Linked DNA regions of Macaca mulatta. The protein of the gene in region 2 interacts with the protein of the main gene of each other region in a biochemical or structural test. Links are inferred from orthologs where the notes say so. Each region holds a gene or a part of one and is shown on either strand. Other genes may lie near its edges.

Evidence for each region.
Region 1: of the proteins of MAP3K7 (region 2) and USP4, one has a biochemical effect on the other in vitro, tested with the Homo sapiens proteins (2 studies listed by BioGRID). The link is inferred for Macaca mulatta from reciprocal best matches to the Homo sapiens genes MAP3K7 and USP4.
Region 3: the proteins of MAP3K7 (region 2) and USP29 form a complex in vitro, tested with the Homo sapiens proteins (2 studies listed by BioGRID). The link is inferred for Macaca mulatta from reciprocal best matches to the Homo sapiens genes MAP3K7 and USP29.

The regions. Positions count from the first base shown.
Region 1 is NC_133407.1:112,740,956-112,747,077, reverse strand, and holds part of USP4 (ubiquitin carboxyl-terminal hydrolase 4), read left to right. Parts: exon of another isoform or gene 1-54; intron 55-362; coding exon 363-536; exon of another isoform or gene 537-916; intron 917-1,099; exon of another isoform or gene 1,100-1,190; intron 1,191-4,123; coding exon 4,124-4,282; exon of another isoform or gene 4,283-4,459; intron 4,460-5,944; coding exon 5,945-6,122.
Region 2 is NC_133409.1:95,418,610-95,424,731, reverse strand, and holds part of MAP3K7 (mitogen-activated protein kinase kinase kinase 7), read right to left. Parts: intron 6,026-6,122; coding exon 5,944-6,025; intron 3,662-5,943; coding exon 3,531-3,661; intron 2,876-3,530; coding exon 2,746-2,875; intron 123-2,745; coding exon 42-122; intron 1-41. UniProt on the Homo sapiens protein: Serine/threonine kinase which acts as an essential component of the MAP kinase signal transduction pathway. Plays an important role in the cascades of cellular responses evoked by changes in the environment.
Region 3 is NC_133424.1:69,336,725-69,341,851, reverse strand, and holds part of USP29 (ubiquitin carboxyl-terminal hydrolase 29), read right to left. Parts: intron 2,849-5,127; 5' UTR 2,833-2,848; coding exon 94-2,832; 3' UTR 1-93.

The DNA of each region.
Region 1 (6,122 bases), on a different chromosome or scaffold from region 2:
GTCAAGAGCGAAACTCTGTCTCAAAAAAAAAGCCAAAAAAAATAAAAAAAAAACTTTTTCATTAAACAAGAATTATTTGTTTATTCAGCTTTTTTCCTAAGGTAGTTTTTTTCAGAGACAAAATCTTAGCCAATGCATCTGCAATCCTCTAAGACCACGTCCCTCAGAGATTAGCTGCGAGGGGTCCACCAGCTTGACCTCCTTGAGGCTGTGCTTTACTGTCCGTCATGAGCCTTCAGAGAATCTCCTGAGTGCCTCATTTTGTTGGGGTTGTCCCTCAGTGACCCTTTAGAACTTGATTTATCTTGTATCTCTGGTACTGTCTAGAAGGTATGTAAAGCCCTCATCATGTTCTGTTTCAGTGCTTGAGCAACACTGCACCACTGACTGACTACTTTCTCAAAGATGAGTATGAAGCCGAAATCAACAGAGACAACCCTCTGGGGATGAAAGGGGAAATTGCAGAAGCCTATGCAGAGCTCATTAAGCAGATGTGGTCTGGAAGGGATGCCCATGTGGCACCTCGCATGTTCAAAGTAGGTAGACATATATATATATACAGGTTGAGTATCTCTGTATATAGATGCTTGGGACCAGAAATGTTTTGGGACTTCAGGTTTTTTAGGGTTTTTTTTTTTTTACAGTATTTCCATTACGCTTACTAGTTCAGCATCCCCATTCCAAAATCTAAAATGTTTCAATGAGCATTTCCTTTGAATATCGTGTCAGTGTTAGAAAGGTTATGGATCTTTGAGCATTTGGATTTCAGATTTTCGGGTAAAGGATACACTCCTGTACTTCCTTTTTCCCACTTTGGGGAGAGTGGTTTAGTGTTGTTATGAGGCATTCCTTTTGTTGCATTTTGGGATTAAGATGGGATCTGGGCCAGGCGCTGTGGCTCACGCCTATAATCCCAGCACTTTGGGAGGCCGAGGCAGGTGGATCACTAGGTCAAGAGATTGAGACCATCCTGGCCAACATGGTGAAGCCCCGTCTCTACTAAAAATACAAAAAGTAGCTAGGCGTGGTGGCGCATGCCTGTAGTCCCAGCTACTTGGGAGACTGAGGCAGGAGAATCACTTGAACCTGGGAGGTGGAGGTTGCAGTGAGCTGAGATTGCGCCACTGCAGTCCAACCTGGTGGCAGAGTAAGACTCCGTCTCCAAAAAAAAAAAAAAAAAAAAAAAAAGATGGGATCTGATGACCAGTCACGATGGCTCACGCCTGTAATCTCAGCACTTTGGGGGGCCAAGGTGGGTGGATCACCTGAGGTCAGGAGTTCAAGACCAGCCTGGCTAACATGGTGAAACCCCTTCTCTACTAAAAATACAAAAATTAGCTGGGCATGGTGGTGCACACTTGTAATCCCAGCTACGTGGGAGGCTGAGGCAGGAGAATTGCTTGAACCTGGGAGATGCAGATTGCAGTGAGCCAAGATCACACCACTGCACTCCAGCCTAGGCAACAGAGCAAGACTCCATCTCAAAAAAAAAAAAAAAAAAAAAAAAAAGATGGAATCTGAGACTAAAAGTACCACATTGTCAAACCCTTTTTTTCCTGTCATTCAGTCATTTAGCACACCCCTAAGTGTCTTCACTGCCCACCTCTGGGTTGGGGATGTCTCAGAAGTTATTTGTAAGCTGATTCCTCAGAATGCTGTATTCTGTGATGGCAGTATTTAAATGGTCAGTTTCCTAAGCCAGACTATAAAAATTCAGTTTCTTGGAAGGCTGAGGTGGGAGGATCCCTGGAGCCCAGGAGTTTGAGACCCGCCTGGGCAACATAGTGAGACTCCGTTTTTGTTTTGTTTTGTTTGAGACAGAGTCTGACTCTCTTCTTGCCCAGGTTGGAGTGCAGTGGCACGATCTTGGCTCACTGCAGCCTACACCTCCCGGGTTCAAGCGATTCTCATGCCTTAGCCTCCTGAGTAGCTGAGACTACAGGTGTGCACCACCATGCCTGGCTAATTTTAGTATTTTTAGTAGAGATGGGGTTTCGCCATGTTGACCAGGCTGGTCTCAAACTCCTGATCTCAGGGGATCTGCCTGCCCCAGCCTCTCAAAGTGCTGGGATTATAGGCATGAGCCACTGCGCCTGATCAAGTCTCTGTTTCTTTAAAAACAACAAAAAAGTTGGCCAGGCGCAGTGGCTCACGCCTGTAATCCCAGCACTTTGGGAGGCCGAGGCGGGCAGATCACGAAGTCAGGAGATCGAGACCATCCTGGCTAATATGGTGAAACCCTGTCTCTGCTAAAAATACAAAAAAAAAAAAAAAAAAATTAGCCAGGTGTGATGGCAGGCGCCTGTAGTCCCAGCTGCTCGGGAGGCTGAGGCAGGAGAATAGCATGAACCCGGGAGGCAGAGCTTGCAGTGAGCCGAGATCGTGCCTCTGCACTCCAGCCTGGGTGACAGAACGAGACTCCATCTCAAAGAAAAAACAACAACAACAAAAAAAGTCCGGGCATGGTGGCTCGTTCCTGTAATCCAGCACTTTGGGAGGCTGAGGTGGGCAGATCACGAGGTCAGGAGTTTGAGATCAGCCTGACCAACATAATGAAACCTCGTCTCTACTGAAAATACAAAAATTAGCCAGGTGTGATGGTGCCCACCTGTAATTCCAGCTACTCAGGAGGCTGAGGCAGGAGAATTGCTTGAACCTGGGAGGTGGAGGTTGCAGTGAGCTGAGATCGCACCACTGCACTCCAGCCTGAGCAACAGAGCGAGACTCTGTCTCTAAAACAACAACAAAATTAGCTGGACATGGTGATGTACCTATAGTCCCAGCTACCAGGGAGGCTGAGGTGGGAGGAATTACTTAAGCCTGACAGGTCAAGGCTGCAGTGAGCTGTGATTGTGCCACTGTACTCCAGCCTTGGCGACACAGACCCTGTCCCAGAATAAAAAAATAAAAAAGAATTGGGTGGCAACACACTGTGCTGAAGCTAATGTAAATAAACAACTAGAAGGTAGTGTTTAGGGATATTAGGGAAGTGTGGAGCTTCCTCAGTGATGGATGTGTTATATATTTGTACTGTGTTATGGCAGCCACCAGCTCAAGCACCTCTGAGCACTTGAGATGTGGTTCATTTGACCAAGGAACTGAATTTTTAATGGTTTTTAATTGTAATTAATATAAATTTAGGTTGCCATATGTGGCTAGTGGCTATGGTATTAGAGAACAGGTGTAGAACAGTGGTGCTCCATTTTTTTTTTTTTTTTTTTTTTGAGACAGAGTCTTGCTCTGTCGCACAGGCTGGAGTGCACTGGCACGATTTTGGCTCACTGCAGCCTCCGCCTCCTGGGTTCAAGCAATTCTCCTGCCTCAGCCTCCCGTGTAGCTGGGATTACAGGTGTGCACCACCATGCCCAGCTAATTTTTGTATTTTTAGTAGAGACCAGGTTTCACCATGTTGGCCAGGCTGGTCTTGAACTCCCAACCTCAGGTGATCTGCCTGCCTCAGCCTCCCAAAATTCTGCGATTACAGGCGTGAGCCACCGTGCCTGGCTGGTTCTCCATAGGATACATCACAGTCTCTGGGAGTGCTTAATACAACATAGACTGCTAGACCCATCCGCAGAGTTTCTGATTGAATGGGTTTGCTGTGGGGGCCTGAGAATGTGCATTTCTACTAAGCTCCCAGGTGATACTAATGCTGCTGGCTAGGGACCATACTCTCAGAATAACTGGTGGAGAATAATACTGGACAGACAGTATTTAGGGACCTGAGGGCTGTTATGTACAGGAGGATTCCTCCAGCTGATGAAAGTATCGTTTGTAATGTCCTTATGGAGTTTAAGACTCTGAACCAAAGAAGGACATGTTGGAGAGGGATTCATGTCAGTACTTGGGTGTGGTTACTCAGGATACCCCACCCTTCCTCCCTAGGACTTAAGGTAGTGGCCCAGGTTCCAGATTCATCCTCCTGGCTCTCTGATCTAGGCCTTCTCTCTGGTGGGAACCACTGGCCTCCTGTAGGCTCTTCAGGAGTTAATTGGACTACTCAACCAAGTGTTCTCTCTCACTACCCAGCTAACTCCTCAAAGCTATTTTTGATGATAGTTCTCATTTGATTTAACTAGTTCTTTACATATTATGCCTTCTGATGCAGTTGCTTTTGTTGTAGACTCAAGTGGGACGTTTTGCTCCTCAATTTTCTGGCTACCAGCAACAAGATTCTCAGGAGCTGTTAGCCTTTCTTCTAGATGGATTGCATGAAGATCTGAACCGAGTAAAGAAGAAGCCCTACTTGGAGCTGAAGGATGCCAATGGGCGGCCAGACGCGGTATGCCATTAATGATGTCTGAACGAAGAAGCTGCCTCATATTGAGAGTGCAGGGATATTCTTCTGGTCTTTTGAGTGTTGCTGCCAGGGCCCTGGTTGCTTCTCACTGTAGCTAGTTATAGGTATATGGTCTCTGGTCAGAAAAGGGCTAACTGTAGTTACTGCTATTTTTTTTTTGTAATAGAGACAAAATCTTGCTATGTTGTCTAGGCTGGTCTCCAGCTCCTGAGCTTAAGCAGTCCTCTTACCTTAGCCTCCCAAAGTGCTGAGATTACAACAGGCGTGAGCCACTGTCCCCTAGTTACTCCTAATGCTTCCTCTTGGGCTTTTTCAAATTTGAGTGAGCTTGTTTGATATTTCACTGGTGAACTAGGGACTAAGAACACTCTGAAAACTGTAAAGTGCCTGTAGTGAGGACCCCTAAGATTGTTATCGCTCACAATAAAAGCTATCTATGATTACTTAATTTGTTATTAATATCATTAGGACATTTATACTTTTTACCTTGATTTTCTGATCAGTGCAAGAGGATTTTAGTATTTCAGCTGCCCTGTCACATTGGGATAATCAATATGAATGCTTTAAAGTAAAATTTAGATCTTCTTAGAAAAACTGTGAGTTAGCTGAACTGTAGTATAGATAAAATTATTAAAATTTATTTGTTTATTTTTTTGAGATGGAGTCTCACTCTGTCACCCAGGCTGGAGTGCAATGATGCGATCTCGCTCACTGCATCCTCCACCTCCCGGGTTCAAGCGATTCTCCTGTCTCAGCCTCTTGAGTAGCTGGGACTATAGCCATGTACCACCACACCCGGCAAATTTTTGTATTTTTAGTAGAGAGGGGATTTCACCATGTTGGCCAGGCTAATCTTGAACTCCTGACCTAAGGTGATCCATCTGCCTCGGCCTCTCAAAGTGCTGGGATTTCAGGCATGAGCCACTGTGCCCGGCCAAAAACTACTTTAGATCACTGGAAACATATAGGGGGACTTTCCTTGTCCTGGCCATGTATCTGTACCCATAGTGTCCTCCGGGTTCTGTTTCCTATCAGGACACACAAACCCCTAGTTTCCAATAGGTCCTATGATGCCAACCTTATTAAGTGTGGGGATTACAACGAGGCACAGTGGCTTACCCCTGCGGTTCCAGCACTTTGGAGGCTGAGGTGGGAGCATCACTTGAGGCCAGGAGCTCTAGAACCATCTGGTCAACATAGTAAAACCCCCATCCCTACCAAAACTAAAAAAACATTAGCCAGGCATGGTGGGGCGTGCCTATAGTCCTAGCTACTTGGGAGTCTGAGGCAGGAAGATCGCTTTGAGCCCAGGAGTTCGAGGCTGTAGTGAACCATGGTCGTGCCAGCCTGAGCGACAGAGCAAGACCATGTCTCAATCAATCAATATAATATATATTTGAAATATATATATAAACATATATATGAAATATATATATGTGTGTTGGGGTGGGGATTGGGTGTAGAGCTGGCATGTGGTATGAGTATGATACACTAAGAGTAGTCCTGGCCTTGCTTGTCCTGGATCAAGCTCTTGGCTGTACAGATTGCCGCCTGATTCATCTCCAGGTTTGCTGTGAGTCATTCTGGATGCAGGGGCAAGGGACTGAGTGGTGTTGAGAATGTCCTATTTATCCCTTCATGCAGGTGGTGGCAAAGGAAGCCTGGGAGAATCACAGGTTGAGGAATGATTCTGTGATTGTGGATACTTTCCATGGCCTCTTCAAATCTACTTTGGTTTGTCCAGAATGTGCTAAGGTTTCGGTGACCTTTGACCCATTTTGCTATCTAACGCTCCCACTGCCCTTGAAGAAAGATCGAGTTA
Region 2 (6,122 bases):
GGTTCCACAGTTATTAGACCAACTCAGGTGGTCTGTGATACCTGATATGACGATCTCAGGGACATCCAGAATGTTGCCAAATGAAGCGGTTTTACGGTGGCCCCGTTTAGGCTTGGAATAGGCTGCAAAAACACATATATACAGTATACATGCAAACAACCACAAACAGTAACACAGAAAATGATTAACTACAAAAATAGACTCATTTTCAAATAGTTCATGTTAATAACATTTCATGCAGAATGGCATGCAGAACTACCTAACTTTTCATCCATGCTCAGAAAAGGCGAGATTAAAGAGCAAACAACTACCAAACACAAGATGTCTTACACACTGGTTTTAATCAGCAGAAAAAATAAAAAGAACAGAGACAAAGCTGCAGGGTAATGAGGAAGCAAAATTTCAAATATATTCATAGAAACACTCTACCTAAGTGAAATCACTGATATGTGATGGGGGTGGGGGAACGAAGGAGGAAAGGAAGAAAGGCATTAAAAAGTAAGTAGTCATATTTGTTTTAATTACACAAACAGGAATATATGTTCAAGTTAGGTGATTCTTGAAGTGTGCTATAAAGTAAAATTCAATGATTAAATACTAATTATTGAATCAAAGTGTGAAATGTATATACTTTTGTAATCATACATATTTCTAGTAAACCAAATATTTATTATATTTTCCAAAGTTTAGGGTACATTCACAGTAAACACAAAGTCTGTCAAAAGGCTGGAAAGTATGAATCTTTCCAAGTAAGACAATTCATGAAAAAATACAAATTGTGTAAAGCTCAAAGGATGTACAATAGCATTTGTTCTACATTTAGGCAAAAAAAGATAGGGTAATTTTAATGTGTGTGGTTATCCTTCTTGCAAAGTCATTTCTGTAAATAATAATAAAAAACCAGTGCTTGACTAGAAATATGATACCAGCAAAGACATGAAACCATTATTATAACAATTTTCAGTTTTGAGACAGCAATCAGAATGTGGCAGATCTATCCTTAATAACATGCCTGAAGTGAAAAGGGTTCCTCAAAGCGTGAGGGTATGTCCCTGTGAGTAGGGTTCATCTGACACTACAGTGAGACAACCCTGCTCCGAAGAAATACTTGTGATTCATGGAGACTCTGGGCTTGTCAGTGGCTGGTGACTTCTCAACTTGATAGTTTCTGAAGATCCATCTGTGGCAGACACAGCTATCTTCTGCCGGTCTCTACTCTTCCCTTCTGTTTTAGCAATAGTACTCTGATTTTATTTAGGACAGAAAAGTCATCAGATAAAAGAGGGCAGATCTCCTCTTCCCTTGGAGCTACGTGTAGCCATTCGACCATGTTACTCTGACCAATGACGTGTGGACATTGTTAGGAAAGGCATCTGGGAATGTTCCTTCAAAGAACTTGGATGCCTATTTGCCCTACCCCCATGTCTTCCTTCCTGCTGCCTGGAATGTAGAAGTGATGAAAGGGAACTTTAACAACCATTTTGGAGCACAGGATAACTTTGAGAATGGAAGCTATACAATAGGGATTACGGCACAGAAATAGGAGACCAGTTACTTCAAGATCACAGAGCCCACTACCTTCAGACTTGTTTATGTCTGAAAAATAATGCTTATGTGTTATAGACACTGTTATTTTGGAAATCTGTTATATCTAATGGATTCTAATACTAGCTGATAAAAATCAATGATCATGATTAGTTGAAGACAAGTATAGTATGATGGTCCATCTTGACAACTTCTTTCTGAAAGAGCTCCACACACAATAAGAATATTCTATTTAGAAAAAAACCAAATAAGTGAAAAAAATACCTAAAAAATTGGTTAGCTAAGTTAAAAAAGATGCAAATACACATAGAAATACACATTTATACGTATATATATAGTTAAAAGACTGGGGTAAATACACAAAAATGTTAAGTGTTTATCTCTGAGTGGGGTAATTATGTAAGTTTTTTTGGCTTGTTTACATTTCCACATTTTCCACAACAGAAATGTGTTTACTTTTAAAATCAGCTCCCCCCAATCCCTGGAAGGAATCAGCAAAAAACAACGAAGTCCAAACTAAACCAGCATTACTAAAATGAAACCTGGTCAGAAAATTAGGTTGCCAGTTTACTTAGGTAACAAAACATGTAATTGTTTTTGTGCTGACCAGTTCTTCCATGATTAATAATTTTAAGAACTGAACAATGGAATTTAAATGCTAGCTTTTCCAAGATCCAATAAAATTATGATCTTTTACTTTACAATTAAAAAAATTAACCATAACCAGCTTAGCTAATATTTTGTCACTGGAATGAAGGAGCAGATAGAAGGTCAAATCATACGTGGATCTGGAATACATTTTTCTGTTAAATTTGAAACAAAATATTTGCTATTATTAGAGTTCAGCACAAAAATCTAGTAGTATCACTCAAAATCCCCAAAATATTCCGGTTTTGGCAGAATTTCTCACTCAGACTTTCAACTCATGTTTGAGCAGAAAGAATTACATTTGATAAAATCTGTAAATGAGGAAGGCATACTTTCTCATCCAAATAATTTTACAAGTCATACCTTCCTTATTTGGAATTTGAGATAAATGCAAAATTATTGCTAGTAACTTAGAAAAATATATTGTAAACCTACTTCCTATTTAAAAAAAAAAAAAAAAAGACACACACACAAAACCTCTGACAACTGAAACTACCATGGCCAAAAAGGCTTATATACATTTCACTCTTCAGACTTGTAGTTCCTTTTTACCTGTGGTTGCAGCGATCCTAGCTTCTATTTCAGACATGTCAGCACTCATCCTCTTTCCCTCAGAGGTTGGGGGCAAGCTCTCCACACTGCTCCCACGGGAGGCTCCCAAGCTTAAACGTCCAGATTCACTCTGTTAAAATTACAGGTCAATCTGAATTACTGAAGTTCTTTAGATTTAGCAGTCTTAGGCAACCTAAAAGGAGGAAGATGGCAAGTAGGATTCTGATGGATCCTGTTCTGCTCTGAAAGGAGAGGGAAGTTTGCACGAGAGGGAGCTACAGCAGTAAGGGAAAGCAAGCTGCAGATACTGTTTTTATGAAAGAGTAGTCACTAGAACTGGGGCTAAAAGCCCCAATTATTCATTAACCTAAATGCCTCAGGCAAAATGAATAAACTCACTCCTTACAATATTTTTAAAAATCAACAACGGCAAAAATATAAATCTGAATAGCATGAAATGATACACTTAGGACAACTCCTCTAACTGGGCAGCACAGCCAAAATATATCCGTTTTACATTTTTAACCATCAACCATTACATTTAAGGATTATTATAGATAGGGAGTTAGAGTTGGCAAAGGTAGCAATCATTAGAAGGAAAAACCATTTGGTAATAAATGGTAGGAGACTCTCATTACAAGTCTCTATTTGTAAGCTCTTCTATATGTTTCAGGAAGAAAATTCAGGATTTATAAAATAGAAGATGGTAAATAATTAATTTCATTTAGTATAATATTGTGACTACTGTTAAGGTTACCAATTTTACTTGTAATAACAAAACAAACCTGTTGCTTTGCCTGATTTTTCAACAATTTTGACTCTAAGCGCTTAATAGTATCATTTGTAGCAGGAACTTGCTCCATATTAGTGTCACTTTTATTACTCGTATTTGTAGAAGCAATGTCCATGAATGAGCCTAGGAAAAGCAGAAACATTTATGACTACTGGTTGGAAATAATAAAAATGCTTCACTTAGTATTATGTAACTTACATTCTTTTATAAACTAGCCAGGCAGGAACAGAAATAAGACTTTTCAAGCTAATGAAGATATCCAAACAAACCCATTTTAAGCAAAACTTAAGGCTAGCACAAAAAGGAACCAAGATGCCTAAATAGTCTTCTAATAGTCAAGAATAACTTAAGGTTTTTAACCTGAGCTAGTAGAAGAACTGAGGGCTATTAATTGAGATGGGGAAAGACTACAGGAAGATTGAGTTTGAAGGAAGTATCAGGAACTCTGTTTGGAAAATATTGAGTTTCTAGTAGATGTATAGAAAGTAGTTGGATATATGAGTATAGAGTTCAGGTATAAGATGGAAAAAATTATGAGCCAGCAGATGGTATATAATGCCACAATACTGGATGAGGTTACCAAGGAAATGAGTGCAGACAGATAAGTGAAGAAGCCAAATGACTGGGCCCTAGGCACTTCAACATTTCTAGGTTGGGGAGATGAGGAATAACCAGCAAAGAAAACTGAGAACAGATGGCCAGAGATGTAAGATGGAATCTAGGCTAGTATGGTATCTCAGAGGCCAACTGAATAAAGTGCTGTGTGTAAGAAGGAGAAAGTAATGAATTAGATCAAGTGCTACTGAGAGTCAAGATGAGAAATGAAAATGATTCCTTAAATGTAGTGATGTAGAGATAACTAGTGACCTTGACAAGAACAATTCTGAAGTACTGGCATAATATGTCTGAATGGAGTCGGCTCAAGAAAGAAGGGGAAAAGAGAAGCTAGAGAATGCAAATACAGACTACGTATGTTCTAGGAATGATCCAGTAGAAAGTTAAAGCTGATGATGCAAGAGAGAGAGGAGAATTGCTCAGAAAAGTAGATGGGATATAATGCAGATGGGATATAATGCACAGGCAGAAAGGTACACCTTTGGCCAGAAGTATGGATAGTTCAGCCAGAGTAACAGAAGAAGGCAGAGTAGATGGGCACAGATGTTGTGGAAGCTGTCTTCTGATTACTCCACTTTTCTCAGATGAAGGGCAAACAAAATCAGCTGAGAGTGAGGAGTGGTGAGGAGGTGTTTGAAGCCCGAGGAGAGGCTACAGTATAAAATTAAGATATATAGGAGGAAAGAGATGAACTACAATATAGTACAACTGTCCAATAGCACTAAACATGCATGTGAGGATATCTCCAGCCATACTCAGCTGCACTGGTACAGGCAAGGGGTAACCCGAGTGTTAGCTTTTATTAGGCTTGTGGTTTAGCCAAGCAAGCTTGAGAGAGAGGCTAGAAAGATGAAAATTATTCCCAAAGGAATTATAATAGTTGATTGGAATTAAGTGGAGGGAGAAATAAAAAAGGACCTAAGAGGACTGAGGACCAGTGAAAAGGTGGGAGGCTAAAAAACCTCAAGGTCACAGTAAGGAAACGAAGAGAGGGTTTGGAGGACGTGGGAGATGCAAATTATAGAATTTTAGAGAAGTACATTTTAGAATTCAGAGCAACTCAAAATATTTTCAGTAAAACTGGAATTTGAGAATAACTAGCCAAACCATAAACCATCTCAAAATAAATAAAACTATTCTTGAGGTGGGAGAAATAGATCAGTAAAAGTATTCGTCAATAAATGCAGGGTAAATACATATGCATATAGACACACATGTAGTTTTTAGTTTTAATTAATAATGAAATGCTTATAATGCCACTATATTTTGAGAAGTACAATATTTCTAAGTTACAGTATTATTTCTACTATCTTTTTGATGACCACAAATTACATGTCCCACTACTACTTCACATTTCGGAAAACTAAGGAACTTTTAACATAGCTTCTTAAATCACAGTCTCTGTAGAAAAGAACAAAAATTAGGGTGTTCATGATGAAGAAATGTGTTAAATACATTTACAATAATTTCTAATACCACTTGATCTAGTAGTATCCATTTAAAAGTTATCTTTAAAGTTAAGAATGACATTTACTGCAATACAATATGCCATCTTTTTATTCATAATTATGTAGGAATTCCAAGACTTGGAAGCAGGTCTTCAATAACTCTTTAATCAGGGTATCTTCATGAAGAATGATGCACCTGTAAACTTAAATTGCAGTCAATCATATGAAATGAAGGAATTAAAATGCAAATGGGGACATTATTCATTACTTCTTGATTATAATTTCACGGGAATAGAGACGAAAGAAAAATCGAGTCGATACTCTTCCAATCTATCCATTTACCTGTACTGGTGGCAGAGTTGCTCTGTCCTTCATCTGAATACTGACAAGGATACTGTAATGGCTCATCTGCTCCTGGAAAGTACTATATATAAAAAAGTAAACCACAGCTTAAAATTTCCTTAATACAAATTAAATCCTGTTAATGCTTTATTTTCCCTAAGGTATATACTAAATTTGTA
Region 3 (5,127 bases), on a different chromosome or scaffold from region 2:
GTTCCTTCATTCTGAGTGAAGTACAGGATTCTTCTTGCAAGGATGAAGTGAGGCCGAGTGAGTTTGCCAAGCAGCTCTGTACAAAGAGTCGTCTTATTCCCCCTGAGGGATCACTCCTGCCTGTGTGCTAAGTAGCCGAGAGTTCTCTGCCTTTCTTAAAAGCTCCTCAAAAATCCCATTGTGCATGTAGAAGAAGATATACCCAGAGTGAAGCCTCGCCTCCTGCATTTTGGTCTCTGAGATTTCTGATACACGTAGATCGTTGTATGTGAACCAGGCCTGCTTCTGAAAGTCATACACATCGCTGATGTAATGGCCTGAATTTGGGGAGCTCCCAATGTGGCTGACAACACTGATGAGTCTGTAGGCCTGGAGAGGATCCCCCATCTTCACGTTTCTTGTCAGTTCCTTGGCTTCACCTCTTGTGTTCTCTGTATCTAAAATGTTTTTGTTTCCTGGGTTATCACAACCCAATGCCTCGAGGTGGTTCAGGTCAGCCTGCTGAAGTCTTAATTCTGTAGACTGACTGGGGGTCTCCTCTGCATGTTCCTGGGCATCCAGTTTCCTAACACCTGGAGGTGGTGCCTGCTGAAGAAATTCCTCTATGATGCTCTCCTCAAAACACTGCTGGAACTGTTCAGTCATTCCTTGAGATCCTTCTGGAATCCTGTTTTCTTTACACTCATAAAAGCCATTGGTAGACTCCATGACACTGTCAAAATCAAACTCTACGAATGTATTGGTTTTCTCATACTTCTGAAGTTCTGGATGTTGAGGCACTTCTTGAAGATGAACCTCGACAAGCCTTGTGTCTGGGCTGCTGATCGGCTTCCCTCCATCTTCACATATCACAGGAAGAGAAATGTCTTCCTGGTCCATCAGTGAGTCAGCCACTGGAAGCTCCTGTTCACTTATTGCCCTATCTCTAAAGTGGACCAATTCTGACTCTAGTGCAGAACCATTTTCCAGGTCTCCCTGATGCTGCTCTTGGCTTTCTTCTCCACAGTCTCTCTGGGATCTTTGTAGGTCGGCATTCTTCTCTGGTTCAACGGGTAGAACCAGGGAATCACTGGATTCTGAGGTCAGCTTCATTGATGGTGTCAATGGGCTGGTGATCTCAGAAATCATCTCCTGAGAGACTTCCAGGACTTCACATTTCCCAACAGGTGCATTACTGCTCAAGGGAAGAGGTGGTTTGGTGCTTTCATTGCAATAAGAAGATAAGCTTAAATATTTGGGAATATAAACTTGCTCGTTATTCTTCACCAGCAACCAAGCATTGTTGAAGCTATAGCGTTTCAGATGAACGATAAGGACCCTGGAGAGCCTACTAAATGTATGCCTTGCAACACAACTCTTGTGCTTACACATCTCACAGTTATACTCAAGCTCTTCTTCTCTAAAGAAAAGATCTAAAGAATTCTGAATGGACAAAGGAAGTGGTTTTGTTTCTTGGTGCAGGTTGATGGAGAGATAATTGTTAGGTTCTACCTTGAGAACCGCATGACCACAGGCTTTACAGACAATGGAGAGCTGCAATTCAAACTCAAAATTAGCAACAACAGGACAAACAAACACTTTGGTGGCAGCACTACCAACATGCATTTGTGGAGATGAATTTTCATCCCCGCATTTTTTCCCAGTATTCAAAATGGCATTTAAGTTCTCCATGTCTTCTTTCAGCTGGTCTAAACACTGACCTAAAAACTCATGCGCATCATTCTGCATGTTGCCAGAAAATATTTCTGCAACTGCTGAAATGACTTTTTTAACATTCCCAAGTAATTCTCTCTTGATCTCTGTACTACAGAAATCTTTCAAAGCAAGCAGCTGGGTCAAGGTCATAATAAGAGCCTCAAAGGGAATATATTCCCATGGGACATCTTGAGTGAGTAAGTCATCAGCAAAAGACGGAATTGCAAACAGCGATTGTAAAATTGCATTCATGTAACAGGTGTTTCCCAAATTGGGGAACCCTTGCTGCAGTTGCTCTGAATGAGAGTCAAGAGGCACCTGGGCTTCGTTGCATCTCGGGTCATCCTGGCTGTGCGCTGGTTCTAATGGAAATGTCAAACCATTTTTGGCATCGAGAGTCTGGGTTGCAAGAACAGTCTCATCTAGGTTAGGATGTCCATTAGAGTTGGTCTTGAATGAAGGCCCGAGTTTCAAATCGCTAGCTTTTTCTAAATCCTCTAAACTTGATGGGTTCTTCCTATTGCTTTGTATATATTTCAAGGAATCTGTCTTATATTTCTTGTTTGGTACAGGGTTATGTTCCTTCAGAATGTCCTCATTCATCTGTAGACCAGATGCTAGTGGGTTTTTCTCCTTCCCACCTTGATTTTCTAATAACCCTTTTTTCACATGTGTTGGTGATTTTGACATAAACAAAGGCATCTTCTGATAACTTGGCTTGTTACAAATCCCGTAAAATGAAGTTTTGTCAATTTCCTTCAGCACATTCCTGCTTTCAAACACACTCCAATCATCATCAGGTTTCACGGGTTGCTGAAATTTGTTTTGATGTATTATGTCCAGGAACATATTCAACTGTTTAGCATCTCTGTAGGATAATTTGTCAATAAACAAGAACACATTGTTTTTCAAAGTTAAACGCAGGTGACTTTGTCTTTTTTTACAATGTCTAAGGACCACACTTCTAATGTTATTACTCAGCTGAAAAATTCTTATAAATTTTCCAGATTTGAAAGTGACCACCAGTTTAATTTCCTTTTTTCTTTGCACTGTTTCAATGAGAGCTTCTTTCAACTTAGTCATCCCAGTCCTCTGGCTCCAAATCTGGATGAATCCACGTACCTTTAGAGATATCATCCTTTCTTTATGTAACCTAAAGAAGAAAAGCACACATGCATTTTAACCAAAAATATATTAACAGTTATATTTTATGAAAAACCTCATCCACATATAATAATGATTTATTTTTCGTCTTCTTATGCTCTAAGTAAAACACTCTTTTGGGGAACTGCTCGTATTCTGAAGCTACGCCAGTTCTGTAGAAGACATAGACTGAGGGCACACACTCTTTCAAGGGAGCTGTTAGACGAGAAAGAAGATACAAATGGCCAACAGAGAGATGAACAGCTGTTCAACATCACTGCTCATCGAGAAAATACAAATTTGGTTGGACATGGTGGCTCATGCCTGTAATCCTAGCACTCTGGGAGGCCAAGGTGGAAGGATCACTTGAGGCCAGAAGTTCAAAACCAGCATGGCAACATAGGGAGACCTCATCGCTACATAAACTTTTTTAAATTTAAAAAAGGGGAGGGGCCAAGATGGCCAAATAGGAACAGCTCCGGTCTCAGCTCCCAGCAAGACCAACGCAGAAGGGGGGCGACTTCTGCGTTTCCAACTGCGGTACCCGGTTCATCTCACTGGGACTGGTTAGGCAGCGGGTGCAACCCACAGAGGGTGAGCAGAAGCAGGGTGGGGCATTGCCTCACCTGGGACGTGCAAGGAGCCGGGGACCTCCCTCCCCCAGCCAAGGGAAGCCGTGAGGAACTGTGCTACTTGGCCCGGATACTACGCTTTTCCCACGGTTTTTGCAATCTGCAGATCAGGAGATTCCCTTGTGTACCTACACCACCAGGGCCCTGGGTTTCAAGCACAAAACTGGCCAGTTGTTTGGGCAGACACCGAGCTAGCTGCAGGAGTTTTTTTTTTTTTTTTTGTACCCCAGTGGTGCCTGAAACCCCAGTGAGACAGAACCATTCACTCCCCTGGAAAGGGGACTGAAGCCAGGGGTCCAAGTGGTCTCACTCAGCAGGTCCCACTCCCACAGAGCCCAGCAAGCTAAGAACCGCTGGCTTGAAACTCTGCCAGTGCAGCAGTCTGAAGTTGACCTGGAATGATGGAGCTTGGTTGGGGGAGGGGCATCCGTGATTATTGAGGCTTTAGTAGACACTTTTCCCTGGACAGTACTAAGGAGGGTGAGAGGTTTGGACTGGGCAAAATTCACCACAGCGTGGCAAAGCAGCTGTGGCCAGACTGCTTCTCTAGATTCCTACTCACTGGGCGGGACATCTCTGAAGGAAGGGTAACAGTCCCAGTCAGGGGCTTACAGATAAAATCCCCATCTCCCTGGGATAGAGCAGCTGGGGAAGGGGTGGCTGTGGGCACACAGCTTCAGCAGATTTAATCTTTCCCACCTGGTGGCTCTGAAGAGAGCAACTGATCCTGATAAGAGGGATTTCCCAGCACAACAGCTCTGCTAAGGGACAGGCTGCCTCCTCAAGAGGGGCCCTGATGCCCGTGCCTCCTAACTGGGAAGACACCTCCCAACAGGGGTTGACAGACACCTCACACAGGAGAGCTCTGGCTGGCATCAGGCTGGTGCCCCTCTGGGACAAAGCTTCCAGAGGAAGGAACAGGCAGCAATCTTTGCTGTTCTGCAGCCTCCACTGGTGATGCCCAAGTGTACAGAGTCTGGAGTGGACCCCCAGCAAACTGCAGCAGACCTGCAGAAGAGGGGCCTGACTGTTAGAAGAGAAACTAACAAACAGAAAGCAACAACATCATGAACAAAAAAGACCCCCACACAATAACCCCATCCAAAGGTCATCAGCCTCAAAGATCAACGGTAGATAAATCCACGAAGATGAGGAAAAACCAGCACAAAAACGCTGAAAAATCCAAAAAACAGAATGTCTCTTCTCCAAATGATCGCCAATTCCTCTCCAAGGAGGGCACAAAACTGGATGGAGAATGAGATTGACGAATTGATAGAAGTAGGCTTCAGAAGGTGGGTAATAACAAACTCCTCTGAGCTAAAGGAGCATGTTCTAACCCAATGCAAGGAAGCTAAGAACCTTGATAAAATGCTACAGGAATTGTTAATTAGAATAACCAGTTTAGAGAGGAACATAAATGACCTATGGAGCTGAAAAACACAGCAAGAGAACTTTGTGAAGCATACACAAGTATCAATAGCCAAATCGATCAAGTGGAAGAAAGGATATCAGAGACTGAAGATCAACTTAATGAAATAAAGCATGAAGACAAGACTAGAGGAAAAAAAACGAAAAGGAATGAACAAAGGCTCCAAGAAATATGGGACTACGTGAAAAGACCAAACCTACGTTTCACTGGTGTACCTGAAAGTGACGG